2 linked regions of the Caenorhabditis elegans genome follow. The protein of the gene in region 2 purifies or fractionates together with the protein of the main gene of each other region. This does not show direct contact. Each region holds a gene or a part of one and is shown on either strand. Other genes may lie near its edges.

Evidence for each region.
Region 1: the proteins of E04F6.8 (region 2) and Y26E6A.3 fractionate together in Caenorhabditis elegans (co-fractionation; one large-scale study listed by BioGRID). This does not show direct contact.

The regions. Positions count from the first base shown.
Region 1 is NC_003284.9:13,900,231-13,916,739, forward strand, and holds Y26E6A.3 (Methyltransferase-like 26), read right to left. Parts: upstream 9,721-16,509; 5' UTR 9,657-9,720; coding exon 9,576-9,656; intron 9,499-9,575; coding exon 9,364-9,498; intron 9,083-9,363; coding exon 8,996-9,082; intron 8,948-8,995; coding exon 8,879-8,947; intron 8,707-8,878; coding exon 8,545-8,706; intron 8,424-8,544; coding exon 8,343-8,423; 3' UTR 8,141-8,342; downstream 1-8,140. Other genes in the region: sra-39 (Serpentine receptor class alpha-39), read right to left, coding at 834-1,133, 1,237-1,438, 1,484-1,671, 2,650-2,776, 2,823-2,977, 3,043-3,198; Y26E6A.2 (F-box domain-containing protein), read right to left, coding at 10,995-11,318, 11,684-12,142, 12,281-12,739; ekl-5 (E3 ubiquitin-protein ligase), read right to left, coding at 15,119-15,496, 15,537-15,689, 15,768-15,974, 16,042-16,142, 16,193-16,441.
Region 2 is NC_003280.10:7,202,498-7,218,212, forward strand, and holds E04F6.8 (Cuticle protein), read right to left. Parts: upstream 8,884-15,715; 5' UTR 8,883-8,883; coding exon 8,796-8,882; intron 8,647-8,795; coding exon 8,422-8,646; intron 8,376-8,421; coding exon 8,301-8,375; 3' UTR 8,254-8,300; downstream 1-8,253. Other genes in the region: srd-56 (Serpentine Receptor, class D (Delta)), read right to left, coding at 1-99, 233-370, 411-713; srd-58 (Serpentine Receptor, class D (delta)), read right to left, coding at 1,414-1,577, 1,628-2,000, 2,072-2,209, 2,252-2,554; srd-59 (Serpentine receptor class delta-59), read left to right, coding at 3,191-3,493, 3,537-3,674, 3,809-4,181, 4,232-4,395; dhs-7 (NAD(P)-binding protein), read right to left, coding at 4,529-5,092, 5,139-5,247, 5,326-5,585, 5,634-5,690; E04F6.15 (DeHydrogenases, Short chain), read right to left, coding at 6,367-6,900, 6,951-7,059, 7,327-7,586, 7,716-7,772; E04F6.9 (Periplasmic protein), read right to left, coding at 9,183-9,260, 9,305-9,529, 9,576-9,659; E04F6.10 (uncharacterized protein), read right to left, coding at 12,338-12,490, 14,264-14,329, 14,377-14,460.

The sequences.
Region 1 (16,509 bases), on a different chromosome or scaffold from region 2:
CAGAAAAAGGTAAGTTAGCGTTTTCAGGTATGTTCAAATTATGTCACTAACGTCACAAAAGGCGAAACGCAAGATTCAGTGGAAAAATACATTAATATCCAAAAATAAATTGTAAAGTTCAGGGTAAAGGATCAGAAAACGAGAAAAATAGCTCATAAGAAAAAGTAACGTCCTACACAACCGCAAATTGAATGATCTGAACTTTTTGTGATCTTATTTAATTTATGCTACATATTTTTATTTTAAGTAGTCACGTTTTACAACTTAACATTTATTAAATCATGGCACCGGAAGAATTTGTTTTGAAAGAAAAATTTGTAAAATTAATTTATATTTTAGAGTTTACAAACAAAGCGCAACCCCGATGTTCAACAAAAAGCGAAAAAAAAAACAACATGTAAAATGTGTGAAAAAGCTCCGTCTCGCCGGAAGGAAAATGCGGCTATTTTCATAGGTAAGTAAATTAAATAGGTAATTGGCTTATGCTGGTAGCAAGACTTGATTAAAAGGGTTTTTGGTACTTGTGTATTACATGCCCTCATTTTAATAGTAATTTTTTTATGTTATGCGAAATAAAAACGTGAACCACACTTTTGTATTTTTAGGCTTAGAAAATAGCAATTTCTAAGCCTAAAAAGGGAACATGTATATCACGTTTAATTTAAATGGAGAAATTAATGAACATTAAATTTGATTTAAAAATGAGGGCATGTAATACACAAGTACCGGGTTTTTTTTATTAAAATGTTTACCTTTATTTTAGAAATTCAGAAATCAATGTGTTTCAAATTATTTAAATGCAACAGACAAAAATTGAAAAAAACACACACACATCAAGACGGTGAGGGCGGTATTGAAATTACTGCAACAGTTGTCTGCCGTTTTTTGAACTTTGTTATTAAAGTGGAAGACGTCCAATTTGCCGATAGTGGCTTCCGATTAGCTCTTGCTTGAGCTTTTAACCGTGACTGAAAATGGACGTCCCAATTTTCCATGGCAATATGAAACTGATCATCGAGAGGGACATCTTGACTAGCCATCATATCTTTGTGAATTCGGTCTTGCCTCTTTTTTCCTAACCATAGTTCGACAAGTATAAGGGAAGTAAACATGAAAGGCATGTGAGGCATTATCTGGAAATAAAAAAGTTTAGCAGATTTGAACAGTTTTAGGTTTATTACAAATTTAACACTGAAATCAATAATTGTACATTTTCCCTGTTGTTTAACAACTTACAAACAGATTCGCAGCAATTATTTCATACCAGTTTGGCGGTAAATAATCTTTGTATAACCGGAAAACGGAAACAATGAAGATGTATACCCCAATCGTAACGTTCGACAATATTAGTAACGGAGTCACTTGCTTCAATGTTTTCACATTCTCATTACGCTGGAACTGTTCTGACAAGGAAGTAGAGCCGTGTTTATCGATGTTTCTGAATAACAATTGTTACATAAGGCTCAGAGGGGTTTGGACTTACTTGTTGTATCGATATAAGACCAGGTGAACTATTGAAATAACAGCATCTAATAGGAGTTGAACAAAGAACATTACATATACGCGAGAACCGATAGACTTGGAAGCGGAAAATGTAAGACATGTCGTTATCATTTCTTCTCCATCTTCTGGTAGCAAAAGTATAAAAATTGCAGTGGCAGCTACGGCAACCTGGAAAAGTTCAACGAGTTAAAAATGTCAAAAAGGTGTTGTGGTATCAAATTTGCAATTTCCAAAAACTAATTTAAAAAATATAAGCTCTCAGCGTTTTCTCTCTTACTAGGGAATGACCAGAATAAGTGGAGCGATATTCAAAAAAAAAATTGTATCGGAAAGCTGACATTCTCTACTATAAGAATATGACTGAAATTTTTGCCCATTCTGATTCTGATGCCGTATCAAGACGTTTTACCAAATCGATATTGGAAAAGCACCTTGTTTTTGAGACTCCATATCTCTGCAGGGAAAATCGCACCAAAAAGTGATCAACTGAAAACTTGTTAAACACAATGTGATCTGAAACTTTTCAGTTGAACACTTTCTTGTAAAAAATTTGGTTGCCAAGATATAGACCTTTAACTATTTAGAATATTCAAAAATAATGAAGCTCAAATCAATTGGTCCCAACTCGGCAACCAAATTTTTTAAAGAAAGTGTTTTACTGAAAAGTTTCAGATCACATTATGTTTAACAAGTTTCTAGTTGATCACTTTTTAGTGCGATTTTTTCCTGCAGAGATATGGAGTCTCAAAGACAAGGTGTTTTTCCAATATCGATTTGGTAAAACGTCTTGATACGGCATCAGAATCAGTGATTCGGTCATTGAAAACAATGAAAAATAAGTTATTTGTGACACTCTACATTATTTCATACATTTTTGAAAAAATTTCAAAAAAAATTTTTGGATCAAATTTTCTCATGGGTTTGATGGAGAAAAAAGTGGCAATTTTCTAAAAAATAAAAATTTCTGAAAAGTTTCCAGCCCGAATGGGCAAAAATTTCAGTCATATTCTTATAGTAGAGAATGTCAGCTTTCCGATACAATATTTTTTTTTGAATATCGCTCCACTTATTCTGGTCATTCCCTAGTTAGAGGAATTTTGACTATTCCAATGATTATGAAATGTAAACAGTTTAAGAAATTCTCACCGCAACAATTGCTAAAATAGTTCCGAGTGCTCTTCCCTGTCGCTCATAATTTTTGACACTGTAAGTTGCCCATGATCTTTCCAGCAAAATTCCAGCGTGACTTGTAGTCACCAAACAAAATGCAAATCTAAGAATCAAGGTTTTGATTGATAGCTTTTTTTTACATCACGTACAGAAAAGTTCCGCGAATTTTGGAACAAAAGTAGGTTTTTAGAAGCAAGTCGCAAGGAGATGGCTTGATCATAAGATTAAGGAAAAAGTTGGTTGCGCTCCAAGCTGTGAGTCCTCCGAGCAGCAGACAAGATACCACGTTGAGCATCATCAGGAACTGAAATTAATAAGTTAGTATAAACTATTATGAAAAAAAAAATTTCTTTAAAAAGTATCACTTACTACTAGATTTGGATGATAATAAACTTTAAAAGCATACTTTTTGAGTATGATAAATAAAATAGGAAACGTTAGATAACCTGAGGTACCTTGAAAAATAATAGCAAATAAATACGCTGGATGATAATATAATTGACCTCTCGTCTCGCATCCCTCCATTGCTGAAACTTTACAATTCAGTTGCAATAGAACAAAGGTACTTAGAGCTCAAATCAGAACTAAAAGGTAATTTTGATCACGTCAACAGCTCCTAAAAAAGAAAATTAATTGAATGAAGTCGACGTGCTTAATCTTGAATATCTACCGCCGAACATGCACTTTTATCTGCAGAAGCTCTTAAAATCTCACCTGGATCGGTGTAGCGACTAGTCACGTTTTCCATCACCGACTGGAATTTCAAGAAGTGTCTTGGACTATTCACGTGTACACCCAAAGCTAAATGTACAATTTTTTGGGAATATAAATTAAGAATAAGGGTATAAACAATGCGGCATGAAAACATTCGTCATTTCAAATATTAAAATGTTAAAATGTTAAGATAATAGTTAGTTTGCAGTGAGGCGAATTTCGTTTTTGAAAAAATGATGTTGTGAAGAATTTTAGAACACCATTCAACAAGAGAGAAGTAACTATAATAATACGTTAACTTTTACATTTGCAATAAAAACTTATTTATCTAAACATGTCAAAAACTGAAATTCGAAATGTGAAAGTTAAGGAATGGACTGCCCAATTTATAGAGGTATACGGTAATTGTTAACTATCAATTTAATTCACAATTTGTAAACTTTGAAGTGTTAACAAAGGCGTTGTTGAAAAAACTAGATTTGTGAGTACTTTAACACTATTTCAACCACATTTTTACATTGATCAGCTAAACATTTTATCTGGCCTGAAATTTAAATGTTGAGACATAAAATTGCCACTTGCAATATGCAATTAAAATTTGCTTCCCATTTTGTGAAACATGGAGAACCGCCACATAATTTTTTCCGTCGACGTACTTGTGCCAGGTGTATTTAACAATTTTTGTGTTGTGAGGTGTTAAACCAGAAATGTCGATTCGATAGTCCAAATCAGATTTGTTAAACAGAATGGTTGCCCCTTTAAAAAAAGGTTTGTTCTCCCACGTTTTTTTTGGACGCTGCACATTGTGCTTGCGCCTAATGACTAATGTAAGAATTGTACTAACCTATGATAGAAATTCATGGGAGAAGCACTTGTCATGGGAGTTTTAACACATTCAAATGATGTTTGGAACATTTTTAGTTGTTGATATTTTAAAACCGTTTTTCCGTCTTACAGTCTTCGAGCTTCCAGTAAACACGAAAATTTTAAAAAAATCGTGAGCTTAAATTTCAGTGTATGAAAATATAGCTACAGGTTTTAAGATGGCGCATCTCATGAAAAAATTGAAAAATATTGAATTTCAGTAACTTGGAAATATTCTGTCTCCTTAAAAATAAATTTAAATTCACATGTTTTAATTATTTTTTAAATAACGAGCACACTCATTTCCAAGTAAAAATCGTTCTTATTTTAAACAAATTCAAAGGGGCGGAAACCGGAAATTAAATGGTAGAAAAACTTAAAAAAGATTCGGAAATTACAGTTACAGTTTCAAGTAATCTTGTTGGCTCTAACAATCCTACGGGTCTATTTCTCAATGGAAAATAGTCTTGCCAGATCCATATTTACCTTGATTTCTGATATTATTCAAATGATCAAAACAGCAAAACAAAATTAAAATCTGACAAGTGTCAGTAGTCAATCAGTGGACAATAATATTTTCTTAATGTTCTCTATGTTGTCTATGGTTCCATGAACCAGCAACAATTTAAAATTGCAATAAATAGTGTGTTATGAAAATTTGATTAAATTCTGCCCGATATATTTAGGGTAGCAAAAAAGAAATAATAACATATGTGGTCAGTGAAAGTTCTAAATGGGTAATTTCTGGGATGTACTGACTACTAGAAGAAAGCGGGTGATTTTTCAATACAGGAAAACAGAATGCACATTGTGCTTTATGTTTAATGTCATGGAGAAAAAAGTAAAATATTTACAATCAGATATTCTAAAGAAGTGAATTCAATCTATAATATACTGAATGGTTTTTTCTAGCCCCTTTCTTTTTAATTCATTATACCTAGATCAATTTCCGGAGTGAATGTTTTTCACTGTATATCAGAGTTTTTGAAGTGACTATAAAAATAGTTGCGCTTGTGATAAACATATTTTTGAAGACGGTGAAACCAATGTGGTATCTGAATCTACTAACAGATTCCAATTGAAAATCAGAAAGATTAATCAAATCTTGTTTTGGGAAAGTCTCTTTTATACGTAGTATGCCACCTTCACAACAAAGAAAGTTGAGAATTCCTCATCATGGGTTTTATTGGAATTCAAGAAAATATTTTTCGAAGTCTTCTTGAGACTTGTACAATAAACAGATCAATAAAAAATTGCCCAATCTAAAATTTTAGTGACATCAATTTATGAATTTTTTTCTACTCATATTAACTGGGTATGTTTTCTGAATTATCAGTTTGCTTTCAAATTTTCTAAATTTTGTAAAAATTGATGTTTGGATAAGACAACTTACGTGGGAAAACATTCAGAAACTATGAAAAGTTTTGTCTTGAATGACGGGCTTGGGAATTTACCTGGTACATTTGAGTTATCTGATAGTGAGAACAAGTGTAGCTAAAAACTTTGTTGATGAATCATTATGTTTTTTTTTGTAAAACAGCTAACGTAAAATTGAACTAACAAAAGCAGAGACAATTAAAGCGTATCAGGTAATTACTTTTGATCAACACTAAAATATTTACAATAAAATGCAAATAAAAAAGTTTGAAAATGAAATTATTTGGCTAATGTACTTAAATTATTTAACTAAAACAGTTTGAGGCTTCATTATAAAAAACCTTTTTTTCAATTTTGTTTCGAATTTGAGATTTTATTGATAGAGTGAGAATACAATATACTATTGCATTGTTGGTAGCCATTGAAAAATCTGATTCATGAAACATTGCGAGTTTGAAAAGTACCTAAAATACGTTCAGGATTAATAAAATAAATGTTGTCTAAGTTGTTAATTGTCATAAAATATGGAAACAATATGTACGTTTAACGCGTGGTTTCGTGATTTGAAAAAAAAACATCTGCAATTTTGTAATCATCTTGAACTAGTTCTTATTCTGCATTCCTGCAAAACAGGGTCAAAAACTAATACTTCGGTTTTTCATCTAACTCTAGCAATTTGAGTTAATTTTGATGCAGCTGAGGTGCTAACCCCCAACTTAACAGACTTTGCCCATCTTCAGCAATTTTTGCGATTGGCAACTTCAAAGTTGCTAAAGTTGGTAGAGAAATTACCGCAAAGCACAAAATTTTATACTACAAGAGTACATTTTGAATACCACATCACTACGGTAAGAAAATTCAATCTTTGAAAAATACCTAAATTTGATCTCAATCAAAAATACAAATATTCAAAGATTTCATAGAGGCACATTAAACGTGATTGGGTCACAAATGAGACGTGTATCAAAATTGCTACCACTTTTCTACTAAAAAAAAACCAAACAAAAAGGGAAAGCTCACCTTTCACGATGAGATATTTTATCAGTAAGAATCTTTCATATACAGTTGATGGGGTATAGACACGTTTTTTTTTTAAATTTTACACTTTCCAAAGTTTATGGTTGGTTGAACTTTTCACTTTGACATCTAATAAGTGTAAAACAGAACGCCTGGGGTTTTGCACAAAATTCGTATTTATGTACCGATGTTTATTCATGTATGATTCATGTATGATGTATGATTCTGAATCCGATGAGACATAGCTCAATTTTGTCGAAGACGGTAAAAAACCCGTAGGCTACAACATTTAAAAGAAGGATTTAGTTTTTGAGCTGCCGAAACTTCACAAATTAGCTGGAACATCAATTCAGAAATACACAGAAAAACTACTTACCATCTCCAATATCGAAGGTGCTCATTAATGTAGCTTCAATATTCGACACAAATCACGCTGGGAAACCAAGAATTCCAATTTTCCGGCTGTTGAACTTTTTGTTGATCTCCTAGCAGATGTTTTAACTGGAAAATTGCCTATAAACATTTGTTGTATACTTGTTACAAATCACACAAACTGAAAAAAAAACCAGAAGTTTCCACGCACTTGTAATATGAATATTGAAATCAATTGTTTTTTAATGCATCAAGAAACTTTTTTAGCAGCTTGCACACAAATAAATGAAATTCAAATTTAAAAGAAAAGCTGATCGTAAATAAAATGAAGTAAATAAATATAAAAATACTTTTTATTGTTGAGCGCTATTTTTTCTTAGATTGATTTTTTGATCTTACTCGAGCGACATTGAAATGTTCATACTTTTAAGCTAAAAGGATTATTACCCGTTTGTGCGATTTCTGGTCAGATCAGATAAACCAGACAAAGTTTTACTTGTCACAAAATGATAGATGATAAAACTTTAAAAAAAAATAATGAAACGCTTAAAAATAAAAAAATAAAAATCACACGCGCAAACTATTTGGTGATAGCAAATCGAAACATACAAACAAGCAAAATTAGTAATTGTGCTTAGATGCTGCTGGGTTCAGCTGCAATTTTAAATTCAGCAGAACGAACAAAATCTATTTCTGTAATGCCAATCAAATATTCTTAAAGCATTAAAATATCCGTACAATCACCCATATAGTCAATCTTTTCTTAATTCCAGAGTTTTTTTAAATTTTTTTTTTTAAGTTTTTTTTTTAATTTGACATCCGCGCACTTCTTTTTGAAATGTCTAGTTCCACTGTTATAGAATGACTTCACATTAACACCAAGAATCGGCTCTGCTCACTAGACCAGAAATAACTGCGTCAAAGAAACATAACATGAAGGTGGCAAAACACCTGCTTCAATACTTGAAACGTTTCTTGAGGAAGTTCGAAAATGGTTTCTTGAAAAGAGTAATTATTTTCCAATAGGTAAAATATTTGAATAAAATTTTTAAATAGCAATTTGGAATCCATTTCAAAAAGACAACTGTTAATATCGACTTCAACCTGAAAATGGAGAAATTAATTACACTTGAAAATGCTTTAAAATCATCATATATCATAGAATATTGAAATCAAACATGCTTTATATTATATTAAAGAGCGTAATATTGCAAATATTATTTGCAGTTAAAAGGAGTTATCAAGGCCATGCATCGCTGAAAATCTAGCGTATTACAAGTATTACAAGTACAGGAGAACAGATTGAAAATAAAAAGTACAAGCGTTTAACGGGAAAAGATCAAAATGAAATTATTCTTCGGAACTGTAATCTTTTCGGCAAGACGGAGGTTCGAACTGTTTGCAAGCTGAAAATTCAATATGTTATAAACTATGAATTTATATTTAAATTCTCGAAAAAAATTCTGACTAAGCGTTCAGTTTCATGGTAATAAAACCGAGATTAACTTTAAAAAAAAATCTCCTTACCCTCTCCAGATATTTGATATCCTTGAGGCCATGTTCCGGATCTTCAGCTTTCAGATTTGTATGAAATGCGATGTTTGATTGTGGTGAAATGTGTCCATCCTCTGCATATGGTCCATAAGTCATGAGGATTCCGTTCGTCTCGTGAAGAAGCAAGTCGGCAGACTGTAAAAAAGGTTAAATTAGTTCAGAAGTGTTTGAATTTGATGTGATAAAATTTGTTTTTATTTCAAAATTATTTGCAACTTGAAGAAAAAATTCAGTCCCATTGAAATTTATCCTACTATTTTTGAAATTCGTATTTCACCTTTGACATTTATCAAAAAAAAAAACTTACTTGAAAAAGGCCTTTAACTGCAGCCGTGGAGCAAATGTGAATCATGTTGATATTGAGAACAATGTCGACCTGAAAAAAAACGAAGTTATTTTCCAATATAGTCTGGAAACAATTTACCATATGAGGTCCGAAATCCGCAGGAAGAGCCCATTGATTGAATGGTTTTGCAACGTCGATGAAGAGGGGGATGCGGACGTTTGGAAACTGAAAAATATTACTTTATGGTTACAAAAACATAAAGTTGAGTTTTCATAAAAAGTTGTAAAAAAAGAGAAATCAAAAATTAGTTTAGAATTATTGTTCACCCCAACAGTCTGGAGTGTGGTTTTTTGTTAAAACATTCTGTCAATTGCTGGCAATTAAAATTTTTTAAAGGTTTTTCAACAGGAGTGTGGAAAAATGCAGTCATTTTAATTCAAGTATTATCTCTTTTTTGCTATTGTGAAAAGTGGAAATTTGGGCAGGGCAACTAACTGCTGACTAACCTGACTTTGATCCAAATAAGAAACGATGGAATGGAGGTATCGACCATTAACTTCAGTCGGTTGAAAAGTGACATCCGGCAGAGCCCGTGCAAAATGTTCCATATGCTGTCCAGTTCCAGAAGCTAGCTCGAACACCTGAAAAAAAAAAATATATATATATCGTTAATGTTTTCATTTTAAAAAAATGTGAAACACATTTTTTAAAAACTTACTTTCTTTCCAGATGTTGCGAATCTTCTCAACACCTCCAAAATCACATCCTTGTTCGATTCGGCAGCTGGCGCTCTCAACATCACCAATCGCTGCAACTACGTTCAATTGTTATTTGATTCAAAATGTGAAACAGTCAGTGGTAAAAGAGAAAGGTACGCGCGCGCACTTTTTATAGGGTTTATAACAGTTTGAGATAGATGCTAACCAGAATGAAGAGACTGGTAAGAGAGAAAACAAAAAAAAACAACAGAAGATTGGAATACCAGAAATCGATAGTTGTTGTTTGTGTGGGAAAAAAGGAGGAATGGCAAGTGTTATGCATGGGAAGAAGAGCGAACGAACGGCAAAAAGTTAAGTACAGTGTAAATGCGCAAAAGGCAGATTAAAAGAGGAATAGCAAAAAAAAACGGTTAAAAGAGAGAAAAAAGAAACTAAAAAGAGATTTTGTTTACAAAACTGTGAAAAAAATGAGAGTGCAAAAGTTACACGTGTCCTGCCAGCCAAAGCGAGCTGCAAGCCTTGCCACGTATAAGGCCAGAGAAAGTAGGGCATCAATGTTTTGTTTTGTTTTTCGTGAAATTTTTGTTTTTCTTAATAATTTTCAACTTTTAGAAGTATTTTAAAAGGTTTCAAATATTAAATGGAAACTAATTCAGCTGAAAATTTTAGTAATAAGACAAAAATTAAAAGAGCGCGTTTTCTGCGAGTTTTTTTAGATCTTGCTTTTTTATATACTTTAATTTGAACCTAAATATTTTTATCAATTTCCTAGAAAAATCAAATCTCGACATTATATAGTAAAACAAAACTCAAAACGAATATATAAAATTTCAAAAGAAAAAATCAAATTCATCTGAAATCAGCACTCGCAGAACGCTGAAATTAATTTGTTCTAATTATAAACTTATTAGGCATATTTCTATTTTTACTTCTTGTTTTTTAATCGATTTAGGCACATGTTAAGCCGGTTGGCATACTATAGGTGGTACATATTTGGTTGTTTGAGGCCATTTTTGTTATACCACAGTATTAACCCATAAATGTTACTTTGCGGTAAATGTATCACGCTTTAGATTTTTTTACTACTGAAAATGCATGACGAAAACCAATCTACAAAAAGTGTACCAAAGTTTATTGTTTCATCAACATGAATGACTGGATAATAGATTTGCTTGGGAATTGGAGATTTGACAAAACAAAACAATAACTTAGAAGTGGAATGAGCTGTGTGAAAAAAAAACCGGGTTGGAGTCTAATAGTTTTTGAGATGAACAAGAATTAGTGACAACAAATATTACAAAAAACTGTTATAAAAAACTATAGAAAAATTGTTATATAGAAAATTTTAGGGAATGTAAGAAATAAATAATTTTCTCATAAAAGTAGATTAGTTGGTTTCATTTTCGCTAAGAATCATGTTAATTAGTCTCGTGAAAAACGTATTCGGTTATTTCTCCATGTGGCATTTGTGATGAGTTGAGCTCACTGATAAACTCCAAATACCCCTTTCGGAAGGAAGTCTTCGGCCGATGACGTCTACCAAAGGGTGTTTGGAAGATGGTGAATTGTTTCAGAATTACCCATCTACCAACTTCTCGGTGTCCATTATCCCAATCACGAAGAGCTTTTCGGAATGTGTCGATATTGTTGAGAGCACAATTGATGTTGACAAAATGCTTCGCAGAAAAGAGCCGTTCTCCGTGATCCCTGTTGAGAGTGTCGCGGATGGATATGGTTTTGATCTGAAAATTTGTATTGCTTCTACATAACACTTGTTTATTTTAAATTTATTTTTAAATTAAAATGTAGAGTATTTTCAGTAGGGAAATTATTTAAATCAGCTCATGAAGTACTAAATTGCCTTGATGTAATTGTAAAAAATTATTTTTAAAAACTTGAAAGTTTGCAATTATGGTCAAAAAAATTGGAAGTCGGCCAAAAAAAATCTATACTTTTAAAATTGAATTGCGTCTCAGTTATTGCATTTAAAACTTTTAGGGGATATTGGAATTTTTATTAACTTATTGCATGATCCTACTTTTTTGGAACGCTCTTTAAACCATAACACGAAAAATTCAAATTTTCTCAAATTCTAAGTACAACTCACATCTGGGAACGGAATGAAGTCGTCAGTTAGTGCGTTCACTTCAATCTCCACAACTTCTTTGTCAAACATTTCCACCATCATTTTCAAATTCTCCGTGTACTCGAAACCCTTGACAATGATTCTTTTAAATGTTCTGGATCCAACGAAGTTGTGCACAGCTTCACAGTATTCCGGTTCGAAATCATCAGTGGTGACAATTTTTAAAATAGTTGTGTTACGCAGCAGCTGGGTTTTCTTCTTCTCGTTGACTTCGGATTGATTCAAGCATTTTTCAGAGTCTGGATCGCTTTCATTTTCTTGTTGATTTTTCTCCAATATCCATCGGACATTCATCTCGCCACTGGAGAAGTCAAGAATCAAAATGACATCTGGGAGCACCATTTTCAGACTATTCTGTCGGTAAATGTTATTGGCAGCACTGCACGTGATTGCTAGACTTTGAGCGTCTTTGTAAGCCGACTGAAAATTTTTTTTAATCTTAGGAATCATCCGGTTGGAAGTGCATCTGCTCAAAAAGTGTTTAACGTTGTTTTTTTGAAAAGGAGAGATTCAGATTTTTTTATTTTTAGAAGTATTTTCCCAGAATTGAAAACTTACTCGTTGCATGATCTGCTCTATCATCTCCGGAGGAAGTTTTAAGAGATCGAACAATTTCACATCATCTTGCTCGATGTGCTTGGTTTCCACATTTTTACTTTTCGGCCGGAAGAAGTTGTCACGAGAGATCAGATGAGAGAACACATTCATTTTTGTAAGCCTAAGATGCTCTGCCATCGTAAAGTCGCAGAGATGAATAGCATCAGTGAGAAATGTGAATCCACCAACTCTCAACGCACTGCTGCATTTTTCCGTTAGAGTTTCACCTTGAAGTTGCTCAATTAGGCACCTATAACGTGTGGGCCCGTTGAATATTGAACGGATTTCTTCAACGGTCCATGTATTGAGAAGGATCTCCATGTCCTCCTTCATACGGTTCATTTCATTGTTGACACGATCTTTTGCATCGGGGAAGAATGGAACGGCCCGAAACAATTCCAGGATGTCTAGGTCGGCCATGTTCTTTTTCTGAAAAATTGAATGTTAGAACATATTGAACGCTCGTTAATAGTAAAGAAAAGTTTATTGGAAGTACATATATTTGCATGTAAGTGGGATTTCTACGTGTTTCATTCTAGTTCACTCTCAGTAATTTTTAAAATAAATGTAGAGGGATATATGTGTATGTACTATGTGTATTGTTTAAGACTAAACTGGAACTTTCTTACACGCCAGAAAAGCTAAGACCAGCCACACAAAAACAGCTAATAATGTAATATGAAAACCTCATAAAAATGTTCATCAATAGCATATTCTACTAACTTGTGTTTTCATGCGACCAGTAGAAAAAGAAACAGGAGAATATGGAGTAGACATAAAATTTTTAATAATTATAGGCATTGAGAATAAACCAAAAGTTGAATAATTTTTTTAACCTGAGTTCAGAAATTTAACTATCATGTGATTATGATAGTGAGAGTATTTAATTTCATTCCGTTCACTGGACATCAGAAAAAAGAGAAAAAGCCAAACGAATACTATAACAAAAGGACAAATTTAGAACTACTCTGAAATGTCACAAGGACAAGTGCAATAAAATAATTAATATGTATATTTTGTCATTTTTAAATTGACATGCTATAGGCTAAAAAATGAAACGGAGAAATGCCAGCAGCGGAAAAATTTAGTTCAAGAAGCCAGCGTCCAATTCAATTTCCCGAATTCATTATTCTCCGAGGGAGAAAAAAATTAAAGCCAGAAAAAAAAAACGAGAAGGGCGCGAGCACTGAGCACACGAAGTTAATGGAATAGCGAGAGAGATCTAGAGAGAAAGATAAGCAACGGTGCAATGCAGTGGCTGGCTCCGAATCAGGCTTCACATTCACACAGAGAGCCCTTCGTGCCAGGCAGTGCTAGCCAGCTTTTCTGGAAAAGTAGATGACGAGGGCATGGCGAGGACAGTTGAAAAGAGAAAAACAGAAAAAATAGAGCCGGCAGCTTAGTCAGTGAGTTTTTTTTTTTTTGATAGAAAAGAGTATTGGACTTGATGATCTGGTGCTTAATAAATGTATCATTAGGTAAAAATTTGTTATAAGAATAAATTTTAATAAATGTGACTTTCTTGGCATGCTGATTTTAGCATGTTTTCACAACATCAGTAATAATTAGGCAAAGCCTATATCTATCGTTTTGATGAAGTGGTTTAAAACTTACATAATCATTATGTTAGGAAATACTTACAATTGAAATGAAATGAAGGACACAATATGCTTACCTATAGTCGTTCTAGAGGTCGTCCCTCTATTTTTTTTTTCACAAATACTTACTTGTAATTCTGAATAAGTTTCGCTGTTTTATCTATTTTCCAAACGTTGTTATCACGGTTTGACCTTGTTGCTATAATTTCTTGTCACCCTGTATAATACATACAACCTAAAAAAGAGTTTTCACATAAAGAACGCATAAAACATATTTTGAGGAACAGATCAATAGGATGTCGCAGTTTCTCGTCTACAAGATCTCTTCGAAAACGAAGAGAAACGACGGAAATGCACAAAAAAGTGGCTCAAGTGGTGAAGAGTGCATATCGAGGTGCGCGGACCTTTCAAAGTGCAACCGAGCGCTTTTGCAGCTACATTGAGTGACGTGTGAACTCGAAGACGAGGAACTAAGAAAAGTTGATTTCTTTGTGGCCGCATTCGCTTGAAGTTTTTGATAATATTTGTTATAGATTTCAATTAACATGCTTTGGTAGATCAGGTGCTACTTATCTTCAGAATGATAGTGCATTAGACAAACTCAGTTTTAAATAATGTTTGGCAAGTTACATACTCCTGAAATGAAGAATGTCATTTTCCCATCAAAAATTTATGTATTTGAAAAATCACATGGAGAAAGAATTCACGCCGGGAAATGGACTTACAGTGGGAAACAGTGAGAAACAGGGTCAGAAATGGCAAACAATTTTTGAAAACAATCACGGTCAAGATATTGAAATCAATAGTTCGAGTGAAATAAATAAAATAATGTTAAGCTTCGGGTTGATATGAAACAAAGTACAGGGAAAAAGTGACAAGTATTTGGATATTTGGAATTCACTCACAAGAGATCGTGAATCCTGTATGAAATGAAAACATGAAATGACAAAATTTGGATTGTGAGAGAATATAAATTACACTGAAGAAATGATGTCACAGATGAACTTTGGGAAGAGATGGCGAAAAATATTGCAAGGAATAAACGTGATAAGTTATGTAAATTACAACCATAGAAAAAAGAGAAGTACCAAGACGAATAACTGTTGGCGTATTGAACTCCTATTTGTATTTGAATGAGAAGAGTGTTTAATGAATATAATTCAAGACTTGAATGATTGGTAGTATGGATATTGAAAACAAATCAAATGATTCCGAGTTGCAAGAATTCCTCAGCCTGTACCACCGCATTGATGTCTTCTTCATCGTCCTCAATTTCTTCGGCCTCTCCCTCAAGCGGAACTTGACCACGGATAGGATCAATGCAGTGAACTCTTCTCAGCTGAATGATGCGAGCAAGACGCGGGCTGTTTTTCAGCTCTTCAATACAGGCAAGCATTTTGTCCATGAACAAGCCAATAAGTTTGGTAACCTCAGTTCGATGGCTGCGATACTTCACCAAATGCTTCTCAATGGTTTCTTCCAAGTACTTGTTCTTTTCCAATTGCTGCTCTTCAACGGTATCCTTGCGAAATTCGTACCAAGTCCCATGGCGTCTGTTTTGAGTTTCCTGAAGCTCGTCCTGATCGGATTTACAAACGAATAATTTTAGTTCAACTTACAAAGTCTGTAGGTCCATCTTCAATGCAATCTTGGATGGAGTCAAAGTGAGCGGTGTGCTTCGAAATAATTTCGCCGAGTCCGTCTTCTTTCGTGAGTTCTAGAAACTGCTCGAAATGTGCCATAACGGTCTTTTCGATCTTATTGGCATGAATCTGGAATTAGTTGAAAATTGAAGGATGCTAGAGAGTTTGTCAGCTCTTATGCACTTATATATAGACACAAAAACCCACTTGATACACATCTCTTTGCATGTTTGGCATACATGCACCAAGCAAATGCTCGGCACAAGTTATGCAACCTGCACACTCCATGTGTTCCAATCTTTCCGGATTGACTCTTGCCTCAAAATATTCGAGTTCAAGTCTCTCTCTCAACTTGTACAACTGTTGACGAAGGCTGTAGGTGCTGGACAAGAAATGGTGGTATTCCATATCTTTCTAAAATCAAAAAATTAGAAAGCTATTAAGTAAATAAAAAAAAAATCATTCGGGAAAAAATAATCACCATAATTTTGCATGCTCCTTTGCTTGCAGCGCAGGTATCCAAGTGGTTAAGAAATGCAACATTGTGGACGCTACTCTTGCAAATCCCGCACATGAATGATTCTGGAAAGTTAGACATTGATATTGCACTCCTTCATTCAAATTCAACTCACGTCTTTGCTCTCTTCTAGCCACCCGAATGTAATTCTCTGGTGCTAAGTGACGGGCCATCCTTGCCAGATTTTGATTCGCAAGTTGTGCATCATGTGGGTCCAAGGCGATCAATCGTGGAAATAAATTGGCAAACTCAAGGACTTGGGGATCTTGGCGAACATCACGTCGATTTGGAACTTCTTCATCATCGAAATCAATGCCATTGATCTCATCCAAAGCCTCGAGAACTGCAGCATCAGGTTGTAGCGCTGGAAATAAATTAACTGTTTTTTTTAGTTTTCAAACATAAATTTTTATTAGAAACCCCATTTTTTGT
Region 2 (15,715 bases):
AGGGAATGGATAATACAAAGACAAATTGTACGTCGAATGTTCTATTGCAGTCAAGTTTTGAACAGTAGTGAAATCCCGTGGAGCAGTGAATGGAATTATCTGATGAAACACAATTAATGGATTAGTAGGAGTTTAAGCAACACAGACACAGCTGAACACATATTTAAAAAACAGCAAAACCCATCTACTTGTCTGATTACTTTGTCACAGTTAAATTTATCAAAAACAGTACCATGTTATATACTGGGAATATATACGATACAATAATTAATACAATAGATTGTTTTCTACTGATTTGGTTATTTGTCAAATGAATAAAACGAAACACCATAGTCACCAATATTGCCATACCGGAACCTTGTGCAACTGCCTATAACTGATATTTTTCCAGGGAAACTTTTTCGTCTTACCATATAAATAATATAATTAGCAAAACAAACATCTGGTCCGAAAAACCGACATGGTCCAGGTGATAGAATAGCCATTGAAGTACTGTTTGTTAAGAAACGATATTGAGAAGTGAATGCAAGTATGACAAGGGTTAATTGGGAAAATGCGCTGTTTATTAAAAAATATCTTAAATTGTTTAGAAATACTGGAAGTTTTTGAAAAATCAGATATATCAATGTTAGCTGAAGAAATAATCCCAGAATTCCGTAGACACTCCAATAAATATTGAAGAATGGAACGTAACAGTTCGAGTCAGAGCACATTTTTCAGGGTGTAAGAAATTTATCTCCTATTCGCAAAGAAATCGAATAATTCAATTTCAAACTCTATTATTAGTAAGTTCTGTTTTGAGCAACTAAGTGCACTTTTTTTGTTGAAAATCTGGACTCTTGATCTAATAATTAAATGTTAAATACTATTATTAATAAGCGATCAAACATTTCCGAAAACTGTTGGAGAATTGATTGCAGAAAACTAAAAATGTGTTCAAAAATTAAAGTTCAATGAAAAACGGTCATTACTTTGAAATAATATGCTTAAGTAGTTGACAAATTTTTTTCAATGAGATACCGAAATGTTCATCAGTTTTTAGTTTTTTCATTTTACTCATGTATTTTCTTTTTGTTACTGCTTAATCCTTGCCTGAAATGAACCTGAAAATCACAAAATTTTTGCCAAAAATATGGACATCGCGATCGAAACTGAACCACTGATGTTGCTACATATTTTGCTGAACCCAATTGAAGTCACATTGAAAGCTCAGCATAGGGATCAGTCATGCATAAATGTTAAATTACAAAAAAACGTGCTTCACACTAATATCTACTATGTGTAGTCTTTTTTTAAAAAGTTTAGTGCTGAAACTATGAAATTTGAGATTATAATGATGCTTCGAGGACAAAGTACAAGGCACAATATTTTTCACACGGTTTTTTTCAAGAACAGAAAAATGCAGATTATATTTTAATTGAAGCCGGAAGTTGAATTGCTGGTGACTGTGGTGATTCGCTGTTGACGTTTTGGAAGTACCCATTCAATAATTGCCTGTCGGTATGGAACAATGAAATAAAACGAGATGAATGGATCAAGGAGAGCTGGGAATGCAGATGACACTAATATCAGGTGTTCTTGAATTTTGAATTATTTATTTCAAAACACCTCTAGATAATATACTCACCACAAATCAAGAGTTCTCTTCCAGTAGATTGAGTATAAATATAACCAGAAAATGATGGAATGTAGGAAATGAATGGAAGCATTGATTGAACGATTAATCCATGAATTAGAGTTTGTGCTTGTTTTTTAGTTCTTTCCGACATATGACTATGATAACGAATCAAAATTAAAACTTTTCGAGTCAGAATGAGACAGCCGATCGGAATTCCGTATGCACCAATTGATAGGAGAAGGGTGGCTGACAGAAACTGAGGACTTCCAGCATTTGAAAATCCCGAGTACGGATAGTAAATGGACAGGTTATAGGAAGGATGCTCCAGGGCTGTGGATGCCCGGGCAGATTCAAAGTCCCATTTATCAGTAAATGGAATTATCTGAAAGTTTTAGATTAAAAAAAGATCACAGAAAGATAAGATTGGTTTGAAACATGTTTAGTCTCACTCACCAAGACTACGAGTGGAACAATGTAAGATACGAAAACCATTACATAAGTTTGATTTGCAGATACTTGATTTTGCACTAGAACGAAAAAACGGAAGAGAACAGTTATGGCAATTGCACATCCAGCTCCGAAGTTTGTCGCCTGAAAATCTCTAAGAACGACTAAAATAACGATACTTTTTACCATGAAAATGTGATAATTTATAAAGCACAATTTTGGGCTAACATAACTGCATGGACCCAATGATAGAACAGCTGCACTGTTGCTGTTTGTAAGTAATCTATGCTGAGATAGGAATGCAAATGTTATCAAAGCAATCTGTACACAAGATGTGTTGTACAAAAAGATTTTGAGACCATCGAGTGTTGCCGGTGATTTATGAGATATCAAATAGAGTAGAATAATCTGAAATATTATAGCGGAAACTCCACAGAATGGCCAGTACCAGTTGAAAAATGACACGTAACAATTGGAATTTGAGCACATTTCAGCCAGCTGACGATGTTGAGAATGAGAATGAAAATGAGAAGTATAACAGCAATTTTTTAAATCTCATATTGTTCTCACGACATTTGGTCATTTTCAAGAGAATGGTTCAGAAGCTGCCAAAACTTGGGCGAAAGTTTAGGTGAAGTCTGGACAGAGTTTGGTGAGTGTATCACTACATTCAAAGTTGGGTAAGACCTTTTCTGAACTTACGCAAGAAGTTGGCGGTGAATTCCTATATTTTTTGCCGTCTGACCTACGAAAATTCCAAAGCCAGATGGACCCCTTTTAGTAGGCTTAACTTACAGAAGTTTCGATAATTTCACCTTAATGAAGTAATTATTGAAATAAAGCTGATTCTCACCTGCAATGACAATACGGTTTTATTATTTAAATTGAGAACGTTTTGAATTTCAAACCCTGGATATAATTTTCTCATTCGTTTCTTCGATTTTCGTATTTCAAACATACTCAAGTTTTCAGCAGGCTTTGCTCGATTATGCATCAAAACTCAGAAAAGACTCTTTCCAGTCTCTTGAGCATTAAGAATTTTGACGAAATGTCGTGGGAACTATATGAAACTTCAAAAATTGCTTCTATACTTTTCAAATTCATTCTCAAAACTCGTCAGTTGGAATGTGCTCAAACTCCAATTGTTACGTGCCATTTTTCAACTGGTACTGGCCATTCTGTGGAGTTCTCGCTATCATATTTCAGACTATTCTACTCCATTTGATTTCTCATAAATCACCAGCAACACTCGATGGTCTCAAAATCTTTTTGTACAACACATCTTGTGTACAGATTGCTTTGATAACATTTGCATTCCTATCTCAACACAGATTACTTACAAACAGCATCAGTGCAGCTGTTCTATCATTGGGTCCATGCAGTTATGTTAGCCCGACAACGTGCTTCATAAATTATCACGTTTTCATGGTAAATTTAAATTTATTTTTACAGCAGATTAAGTGATTTCCAGGCCACAAGTTTTGGAGCTGGAAGTGCAATTGCTATAACTGTTCTCTTCCGTTTTTTCGTTCTTGTACAAAATCAAGTACATACAAATCAAACGTATATAATGGTGTTGGCATCTTATATTGCCCCACTTGTAGTATTGGTACGTGATTTGTCAAATTTTCAGACGTTAAGACTTCACTTTAAGCGTTTCATGAAAAGTGATGGTTTTCACTTTTTGTTTTTTTTACATTCACTTCTAGCAAGCCCAAACTATGAAATATATAAAACTTTCAGATAATTCCATTTACTGATAAATGGGACTTTGAATCTGCCCAGGCATCCACAGCCCTGGAGCATCCTTCCTATAACCTGTCCATTTACTATCCGTACTCGGGATTTTCAAATGCTGGAAGTCCTCAGTTTCTGTCAGCCACCCTTCTCCTATCAATTGGTGCATACGGAATTCCGATCGGCTGTCTCATTCTGACTCGAAAAGTTTTAATTTTGATTCGTTATCATAGTCATATGTCGGAAAGAACTAAAAAACAAGCACAAACTCTAATTCATGGATTAATCGTTCAATCAATGCTTCCATTCATTTCCTACATTCCATCATTTTCTGGTTATATTTATACTCAATCTACTGGAAGAGAACTCTTGATTTGTGGTGAGTATATTATCTAGAGGTGTTTTGAAATAAATAATTCAAAATTCAAGAACACCTGATATTAGTGTCATCTGCATTCCCAGCTCTCCTTGATCCATTCATCTCGTTTTATTTCATTGTTCCATACCGACAGGCAATTATTGAATGGGTACTTCCAAAACGTCAACAGCGAATCACCACAGTCACCAGCAATTCAACTTCCGGCTTCAATTAAAATATGATCTGCATTTTTCTGTTAAAAACGTGGGAATGTATATTATACCCTGTACTTTGTCCTCGGAGGATCATAATTTCAATGGTGACCTTCATGATTTTTATATAAATGGTTTCATTCAATAAATAGTAAATCAGCATTCAAATTGACATGACTTTTTCCTATCATTCAACATATTATCTAATATTTTATCAGAATGTTTCCATAAAGCATCTTGTAATTGTTCATCTCTTGCAACTTCTTCGTATAAACCTTTCTCATCATCCCAATTTGAATCCCAATACTTTCCAGAAACATTTGCAACTTCTGGGTGTCCAGCACAGTAAACTGTTGTAGATGCTCCTTGACTTATATTTTTTGTAAATGGAGTTGATAGAATACTCGCAATGCTTACAAGCCATGAATCTCGGAATATGCTCGTCCTAACCCCATTTCCTGGATGAACTGAATATGTGCTGATTCCGTTGTGATATTCATCTCTGTGAAGTTTGAATGCAACCAACATATTGCACATTTTTGATCGAGAATATAGTCGGAACCATGAAGCATCTGATGAACTCTCTGGGCACAGAATCTTCAACTTCTCCTCTATAGACATTTCAGGAGAAACTCCACATGTTGCATGAACTGATGAAGATACCAAAACAATTCTAGAAGGAATCGACTGTCGAACAATTGGAAGTAGTTCTTGGATTAACTTAAAAATGTTTTTTTATAGAAGATTGCTGGAATTTTTGATTTACCAAAAAATGAGAAAGATGATTGATGGCAAAATGTGATTCCAAACCGTCGACTGTAGTTTTTGACGCAGTTCCAAAGACTCCAGCGTTTAGGATTAAACAATGAATCGACCTGAAATAAGTTCACTAAATACTGTTGGAATTTAAAATCTCTGGAGCAACTTGCTGCAGAAAATGATTGAAAACTTACCATTTCTTTGAAATATAAACTTCTGCCGCCTTTTTCACAGAATGCAACGAATTAAGATCACACTCAATAATATCAATTTCGGCATCATTCATCTCTTCAACAATCTTCTTTTTCAATTTCTCCGATTCTTCCAAGTTTCTATTGAGCATAACAACATGTGCACCATTTAAAGACAACGATCTAGCAGTTTCAATTCCAATTCCTGAAGTTGTTCCAGTAACCACAAATGTTTTTCCAGCTAGGTTGACACCTTTTATTGTCTGTAAAATTGGAAAAAAAATTGTTCCGAAACTTTTTAAAAAACTCACCTCCAGAGCATAAGTTCTTGAGTAAAATTTCCTAGTTCGCCCTTTTTCGGTAGGCATTTTTTGGGGCGAGAACGAAAATGTTGGAAAATAATCAGTTAGTGTCTTTTTATGCTCAAAAATAGTATGGAGAGATTAGAAAGTCACGAACAAAAAGGTGGCAAATAACTAGAGAGTGTGTGTAGTCAAGAGACGGAGAGATACGTGAAGCATGTATGATTTGTGGTTTGCTTTCTTTTAAAAAAATGAAATGGAAAAATAGACAAGATTTTTATCTTTGTTAACAGAAGATTTCAACGAAATGGTTTTTTACTCAAAAAAATGTACATTACGTTTTGGTTATCAGTATTTTGTTGATAACTCAATAAATTGAGTCCATAAATATTTGCTCCTTACTTTGTGATGAAAATGAAATAGATAGTAAGCAATTTTGAGAAAGCGAAAATTTTCGTTTCAGGTACCAATTTTTTGGAACCCGAAACTGGTGTCGAAGGTATAATTAAATAGGAAATATATTTTTTTTTTAACTTTTATATTTCAATTGGCTGAATTTTTATTATTATAGCGAGACTCGTATTTAAAATATTACCTCAAGTTTAAAAAAAATTAGCTTAGAGAAATATGAAGAGTTTAAAGTTGTAAATATCTCCTCTTTTTCTCTAAAAGGCGAAAAAATAAATAAAATTTTATTTTGAGCAATGTTTCAAGAAAAGTTATCGATAATTAAAATCTAACTTTATGAGTCCAAATACTTCATGATAAGTTTTTCTGAATGTTCCCATAAAGCTTCTTGAAGTTCTTCGTCTCTTGAAACTTTTTTGTCCAAATTCTTTTCATCATCCCAACACGATTCCCAATACTTTCCGGACAGTTCTTTCACTTCAGGATGTACTGCACAATAAAGACTTGTTGCTGCTCCCTGGCTTGCATTCTTTGTAAATGGGATTGATAGAAAGTCAGCAATGCTCCATAAACCAAAATCTCTATGAAGATCTGTGCGAACTCCAGATCCTGGATGAACTGCATAAACACTTATTCTATTTTTAAATTCATCTCGATGCAATTTGAATGCGGTTAGAATGTTACACATTTTTGATTTTGCATACAGGCGGAAATACCATTGAGTTGCTTCTTTTGGACAAAGTGTGTCAAGCTTTTCCACAATTCTGGAATCAGGTTTGACGCATGTATGCTTGCTGAGCATTGATGTAACTATTACAATTCTTGATGGTGCTGATTCTCGAAGAACTGGCAGAAGCTCCTTAATTAACTGCAAGAATAATTCAGTTAAGATCGGGTTTTTTTTGTAAAAAATCATACAATAAAATGAGCAAGATGATTGATTCCAAAATGAGCTTCAAATCCATCGGATGTTGTTTTTTCACTTGGACCAAAAACTCCAGCATTCAAAATTAATCCATGGAGTGGCCTAAGAATAGATCAAAGATAAGGGAGGCAGGATTAATAAAATACAATATTTAAGTGATGAGTTTGGAGGATATTAGTTTAAAACGGAAATAACTTAACATGGGTTTTCAAAATTTCACTAAAATTTTAGATCTCTGATTAAAACCCGTCTTGTCTCAGAGAAAATTTGAATATAGAGACACCAAAATATTTCTCCATTTCTAACTTCGGTTTTTCGGAACTCTTTAGATCATTTTAAGTTTTTAAATGTATCAACTTTATCGCTTACCATTTCTGTTCTAAGTATTCATCTGCTGCCTTCTTCACAGATGATAGTGAATTCAAATCACATTGAACAATATCAATTTGAGCATTTGGAGTTTCAATTAGGAGAGATTTCTTCGATGCTTCAGATGCTGTATAATTCCTGTTTATCATTACAACGTGAGCTCCTTTTAAAATCAATGCTTTAGCAGTCTCAACTCCGATCCCAGATGTTGTTCCAGTAATTGCAAATGTTTTACCAGAAAGGTCAATACCATCCAATACCTGAAAACGGATTCAATTATAGCAAGAATTTGAAACAGATTAAAAACACTAGGGAGTAGGACATCATCGAATTTTTAAAACTTAAATTTAGGAAATTGATGAAACATTTAATACTAAAAGAACGCTTACTTCTAGTGCATTTGTTCTTGAATGAAACTGCCGTTTCCTCTTACCATCAGCAACCATTCTGAAAATGAAAAAATTGATGAGTTTCTGAATTTCCTGTTTTATATTGAGAAATTATGATGTGAAGTTCAATGAATATTGGTAAAACTGTAGCTAAATTGACATATTTATCTCTATATTCATGTCATATTTTCAGGTGAAACGAGGAAAATGATCGATGCAAGTTGAATGATTTTTCATTTTCTTATCAGTAAAGTAGTACTTTCGAATAAGAAAAAAACTTACTATAAGATTCGCCTTATTGGAATTAAAAATCACACTAATTTCCCTATTTGTCTTGCGGTTTAATTTTAAATAGCCGAAAAAAATAGTAAAAATAGAAATAGTGTTACAGAAAATATTTAACAGATCAGTGCGGAATTTGCTCTGGAGATATTTTAACAGAACTTTTTGTGGGCGTGAAACAGTTACTACATTCAAATTTCTTTTCCAAATAATGGTTAAATAATTCCTTCAAACAGGTTTTTACGAAATATTGCAAACAATTTATTGTTATTTAAAAGAATTTATTGAAACAGTTTTTAAAAGTTATTGAAGAGAAAGTTTGAGAACTGGCGCGGCAACTCCAGAAAATCCATGATCCGTTTTCGTTTTGATAATTTTCTGAAATTAATACTTTTTCAATTCGGGAATTTCAGGAATTCAATACCGTTGGATATTCAGAATATGATCCAACATCAGCTTTTGTGAACTTTTTGATGACCAAATGTCCGTTATTCTCTTCATAATTTGACGAGTCAATAGCTTTTCCATTAGCATCCACAAACACTCCTTTGTTTTCTCCTTCGAAATGGAAAATCTGTTCGCCAGCGTCAACGGATCTCTGGATTGCCTTGGCTCCTTTGAAAAGTTCAATTTGCACTTTTTCGCCATCCTAAAATGGAATTTGTAAAATACTACTTGGTATTTCAAAATAAGAAAACTTTTGAAGTTTCGAGTAGTTTTGAGAAATACATTTAAAATTTCCTGTAGAAGCATGAACAACAGTTTTTAAACTATTGTCAGATAAAAAACTTTACAAACCTTAACTTCTTGAACTGCAATTGATCCTTCTCCAAACTGAAGAACAAAGGCAATCAGTATAAACGAAGAAATCAAAAACCGGCTCATTCTGAAAATGATAAAAAAAATTTAAGGAAAGCTTTTATTGAAAACAATTCAAAAAGCTCCTGAAACAAAGTTTTCTCAGATGATTTTGAGAGAAAAAAGAATGAAGAAAGAAAACATCTCTAGAACCCATTAAATAGTGACGAATGAGACTTGATTTATTGGTCACCTGTTGACTGAATAGAGGTCACGCCTATTTCTGTTCTGACTCACATTTTTGTTTATTTTTGCAAAGTTTGCACGAAATTGTTTTAAAAATTTTATTTAGAGAAATTATTAGAACACATTCCGAATGAAATTTGTTTATTGCAGGGAGATATCAAGAGTGAGTCCTGGAACAGCGGAGATGGATCCATCAGCGTGCTTGGTTTCGGTGTTTTTCTGAAATAAAACATTTCTAATTATTTCTCCCACTGAAAACTTACAGCTGGGTGCTCGGAGTAGGTTCCAACATCGGCCTTGGTGAACTTCTTAATGATAAGGATTCCGTTATTAGCTTCATAATTGGTTGACTCAATCTTCTTTCCCTTAGCATCAACAAATGATCCCTTGTTATCTCCGTCAAGGTGGAAGATTTGATCTCCACCGGCAACGGTTCTCTTGATTGCCTTGGCTCCCTTGAAAGCATCGATTTCAACTTTTTCTCCGTCCTGAAAATGATTTTTTGTTATTTTTCAAATAGGAGTTACAACAAACCTTAACCTGCTGTTGAGCAACGGCAGCATCGGATATGGCAAAGATGGCAACAAGGAGGAAAGCGGAAAGAATGAAGCGGTTCATTTTCTGAAATTTTATTTAATTTTCAAGAATGAAAAAAGTTTTGTGAATTGACACGAAATTCAGAAGAACAATTGAAAGAAAAAGCACAAAATCTTAAAGTGATGAAACCTTTCTCTTGGAACAACAATAAATAGTGTCGTCAGCCAGAAGATACTGCCTTCGAATGAAAAAAATAGGGTAAGCACCTCCGCTGGTTAAACTAAACGCCCAGCCCACTTTGCAATCAATCACTTTGTTTTTATCATTTGTTTGTTGGCTAGAGTGAGAGAAAATATCCTTCTTGTTATCAGAGTTATACAAAAAATCCTACAGAGTTGGAACACGGAACTAGAAAATGAGGATTCGTTTCCTTAGACTGTTCAAAGAATGTCATTTGGAGAAGTATTGAAAATGGAACAATCAGGAAGTTTATTTGTTCTTAAGATCAATGTGAGAACACTATGAAAGTTCACAATGATGGGATTGAGAAGGTCGTGTTTTGAGGCGCGTAGCTTTTTTTACTGATAGATGTGAAGTTTACAGGATGTTTAGTCGATTTTTAATATGTCGTTTTTTAGTTGGAAAGATAATTTAATTGATAAATTAGAGTACTTTAGAGTTCCAAAAATTACTGATAATACATAATTATGCCTCAAAAAAATTACGTGTATGTGTAGTTAGCTTTACCGCTAATAAGAGTTTAGTAAATAAGAAAAGAGGTGAATCGAATGTGTCTTATCTGAAACCGATTTATGCCATTTTGTGGCCAAGCAAACTTTTATAGTCCCTATCTTAATTGAATTATGTTGTGATGGAAAGTAAGAAATCAATAGAGCGGAAATTTTCTTTTTTGAATTTTTTTAACTGATCAAAAACACCTTCTATATTTTTGATGAATTATTATTTCTAATTCACAAAAGACGAGATTGTGTGCTCAAGATTGAAACAGGTTTTAAAACAATCAATTTGAAGGCGAACTTGAAGGCGACTAATAATTTTTAGGACTAGAAAAAAAAACGGTCTTATTATCAGAATATTACAACGCATAATAAAAAATTTAAACATCAGATATAAAATATACGTTCTGTGAGTTAAATGAATAACGTTTCAAAGGCTGAGGCCTTACAGATTCTTCAGCTCTTTTTATACTCTACAAACTTTGTGTTATTCTTGAAAATTTTCCGACCTTCGGATCAGTTTCCGTCACAACAAGTGAATGAGTCAGTAACAACAGTTGACACTTTCATCGTTAAGATTCTTTTCTTATCGTTCCAACTCATAAAAATGGATGAAATGAATTGTGAAAACAGGATTTCGAAGTGTGGAAATTTTGAACATTCTTCTAAAAAGATCAAATTGATCTGAATCATCAGAGTATATGAAAAACGTACAAAAAGTTAAACAATCAGATGCATTTGTTTGATTATTTTGAAAACCTATCGTCTACCGAGATTGACCTAGGCTATGACAAAATGATAACAAAATAAATAAAACTGTTAATATTCATGTTTGCACAATCCATTACAAATATATATAAAAACTTTGCCATGAAGGAATTTTGAATTATCCAATAAGACTTCCTGAAACTTTTTGAAAGTGGAGTATTCTGGGGAATTTTATTAAACTTCACCATATCATTTCCCTTTAAGGGACTATTTTTTCAAGTGAATAACATGTCAGTGGTTGACTATCATTTCATTCCTGGATTAGTTGTTCCACATCGTCCCATGTACACCATCACTCTTCTTAGCTTGCCGCTTTTTTCGACGTCTTCTTCTCCTCCTTCCAGTCACATTCAAATCATCACCATCTATCATCAGTCGCCTTTTTTGGCTCACATTTTGTTGCTTTTTGCCCAGAAAAGGAATTTATTATTACCAGAAAAAAAAGGATTGGGATGAAGGAAAAAAGGGAAACATTTATGGAGGAAATATATAGCAAATGACAAATTGGCAGAATGTTTTGGAAATCGTACGGTAAAAAGAAAAGGAAAGAAGCATTGGGTCTATGTTGATAGAATGGAAAAACTAGAAAATTTATCTACCCGTAATGAATGAAGAGTTTTTGAATAAATAAATTGTCTTAAAGAAATAAAACTACAAACGTTTAATCACCAGCATCGAGTCTTCGCTAATCGTACGATCGATGGTTGGTATTGATGAATAAGAAGTCGATCGACGAGTAGTAAGAATTGGAGTACAAATTGAAAGAGTTGGAGATGAATGACGCCAATTGGATAGGGTTATTGTTGGATCATCGTCATCTTCAGATATTTCAATATCGGTCTGACAATCATCTTCCCGAAAGGAATATGTTGGGGCAGGTGATGCAGGAAAATGTAAAAATGTGGAAGGTCCTGAAATGAATGTTGGAAGAAGTTAGAAAGTTTTGTTCAGTAGGTCACAGTTTCCCCGCTCGAACCTAGTTAAACAGTATATCACAGTGTTTTAGAATTACACGAATGTTGTGTTCTGAGAAAATTGTTTCCTAATGACTTTCTTATTATTCATAAGTGTTACTTTGCGTTTCTTCTCACTCTCAGACTTGGATTATTTGTTTGTTTATACGCTTATTTGTTCTGTTCCCACATTTAAACTATCACTTCAAAAGTACCTGAAACCAATGAAGGAACCGATCCATCCAAACCCGTTCTCTCAGTCTCAATAACATCTACACACTCGCCAATCGGCTCATAGTCGTTACGTGATGGGATTCTTGTTGATTTTTTGATGGGTTGCCTGAGCGACCGGCACGCGACCAGACGGACCCCTTTCGAATCGATGTTCCAATTCGTATTCTCCACGTTGTCGCTGGCTTTGAAAAAACCGAATACACATGAAGATGGCTCCTCCCTGGAAAAGAACAGAATGAATTAATTGGTGTATGGCATGGTGGCAGCTTATTGGTAATCTCTCTTCTTGATTGATGAGGGGAGCATCAAGTCATTAATCAAACTAGGTTTTACATTTCTAATGTTGTTGGAATGCAATAGAATAAGACACCTGTTATAAGTTATACAATGAATGAAGAAACATATTTCGGCGGGGAAGATGTGTCAAGAGCGACCACAAAATGATTAATTGTCAGCTGATGCTCAGAGATTGTGGCATAATTTGATTGTTGGCTCGACAATTGGGAAATAAATTTTGAAAAAAAGAAAAAGAAAAAGAATAAAGAAAACGAAGTTTCAAAAAAAATTATTACACATTTGACTGACACCTCAAATGTGTATATGCAGAAGATCTGATGCTGTCAACTATACTAATTCAGAGTGCACATTTGATTTACTCAATTAGTTCAATCTTGGCAAAGCATGATATTCTTCATAGTATATAATCTAAGTTGTACAATTTTAATTAAAAAAACATAATAAAATTGGACAATATTTTCACTTTCGAAGGCTAAACTTCCTTTCCAATTGCCGAAGCTCTTTATTTATGTGTATGCTTTTCTACAAACATTCCCCAAATCAAATTGCAAAGTATCCTAAAATAAAAGATGGAATCAGGAATAAGTTGAAGAGGGGCGTAACAAATCCGTCATTTTCAATTGCTTAATGTTTTCTACTCGAGTGAACACCGTCATCAAAAGTGCGGTTGCTTGGTCCTAATGTACGACTTCTTCTAGGTGGTCCTTCTTCGACTTTTTCTTCACATTTTTCTACTATAGTTTTCTTTTTTTGAAAACAAAGAAATGCAAGTGATAGGAGAGGGTCTCTCCTTCCTATAATTAGTATCACCATGGTGTCAAGTCAATCAAGAGAGCCTCAAGGTGCCAATTATGCCACACATGAAGCACACCGACGGCCCTTGATCCATTTAGTACGTTTTTCAAATTCTCGAAACGCCAGCGACGAGCCTTATATCATCATGAAGTGAGGAACAAAAACACATTATTAAGAAAGTGGGTTCCGGATGTCAAAAAATGTGTGCAAAAAATTGAAAATAAAAATCAAATGCAACAGAAAACAGATGTAGGTGAACGAATTGAGTAAAGCGTGAGAAGAATGAGAATAGAAGCTACGGAAACGAGCCGACGCAATTTCCGCGTATATCAACTTGTTTTATTACTACACTTTCCGAGTTATTTTTGGGAAAAATTTGGACTATAAGAAGACAAAGATTATAAATATTTGTTAGAACATCGAGGGATTGAAAAAAATTTAAACTGCAAAATTCATGAAGTCTCGTTTGTTTTTGCAACTTTTCAGTGTCCTCGAAAATAGATAAGAATTTCACATTTGAAGACAACAGTGTGCTAACAATCTGACAAACTATTAACACTTCACGTTGTTACTGAGAAGTTGCAAAACGTTAGAAAAGTGGTTGAAACAAACAAGAAGTTTGACAGTAAGTTGGCGAAGTTGGGCAGAAAATTCCTCCATTTTTAGCATCTCAATAATTAAACAACTACTTTTGTTCAATTAAAGCTTCATGTCCAAGTTTCAATTAACTAGTTAACTACTCTAGATTTTGAAAATTGTTACAAAGGAGTTTGTATTCTTAATAGAAGGCATTTTCAAAAGTTCAACGTAGTCCTTTTTCTAAGATTCTTGATTCACTTTCATACATATTAGATGACAAAACCTCTATTATTATTATTATTATTAGTTTCATTAAACTCACCATAAGAGCAACAAGAACTTGACACACCATGATGATCATATATTTTTCAAGACGTCCCATTGATTCCTGAAAATTTTGTTCTGAATTTTTGTGAAATTAAAAAGAATTCAAACCTTCATTGAAACTATATCATCGAATAACTGAACAATTCTTGCATATTCTTCCATAAACGCCTTGAGGCGTAATTCACGTTCCATGACGATTGGGTTAATTTTGTATTTTTCCTGGAAAACAAACTGAACTTTTCAACTGAAACTGGGCGATTAAAACCTGGTCCTTCAACGAACAGAAGGAACAAAACTGAAGAAGAAGATGATGATGATGGACTCAGATGGAAAGAACCGAAAAATAAGTGAGCAGGATGGCGGGAAGGGAGCCGGCGGAGCACAACGTGGCGTGAAAGAGCAAAAGCCCCGCCCAGTTTTTGTGTTGCTCTTTGGAGACGCGGTAGAGACGGCGGAACGTGTTAGAGAGAAGAGCAGAAGAGGTAAAGGTATATGTGCGCGTAAAATTGGTCAGCCTTTTTATGGATAAATATACTACTTTTTTAGAAAAAGGACAACAAGTTGTTGTTATATTAACAGTTGCTTTATACTATCCAAGAAAGCTTAAGGATTCTGTTGAAATCTTTTTTGGAGACAAAATACTTCAGAACTTTCAATTATATGTAAACGCGTACAAGAAACGATGTAAAACAAATAAATGCCAATGTTTTTAAAGAATGTATTAATATTTTATTTAGATTCAATAAATTTGAAATTGTCCGATTGTAATCAGTTTACGGGAATTTGTTCATGTCTTTGAAAATACCTTTTTTTTTATTTACACATCTTACCTACAGGCACCACTGTGTGCTATTTTTTATTGTTCTAAAATATTACTTGTATTCTCAAAATTTTGAAATGCAACGGTAAATTGAACTTTCTTGAACAACTGATATGTGTAAATTAGAAGCTTTTAAGTTTACAATAGTTCGCAAAAAAAAAAATTCCAACCATGCAATCAATCTTACTCTAAAGTCCATTGTATATTCAAAAGCCTGTTGGGTTTTCCGGCTCATCAGTAATTCGTCAGCTGGAAATTAGTCCATACCAAAAACAACAACAATCATCGAAAATTCTCGCGCTCTTTCTTTTTTTGCAGCTGACGTTCTTCCAACCAGCATATATTTTTTCCAGTCACTTCCATAACAATAAAAATCTTTACTCTTTTCTATATATATATATATATATATAACTTCACACATAAATACAGAAAATTTGGGGACGAAACCGGGGGGAAACTTAATACAAAATTATTATGACTTGAAGAAAATGAACAAAAAAAATAAAATATATGGGAATTGAAAATACGGGATGAGCTAAACTGGGGGAAAGAAATGGGAAAAGTGTCCCCGCAAAAATGGCGGCAAAATGTATCCTCTTACATGCGTACTTTTACACGTTGGAAGTG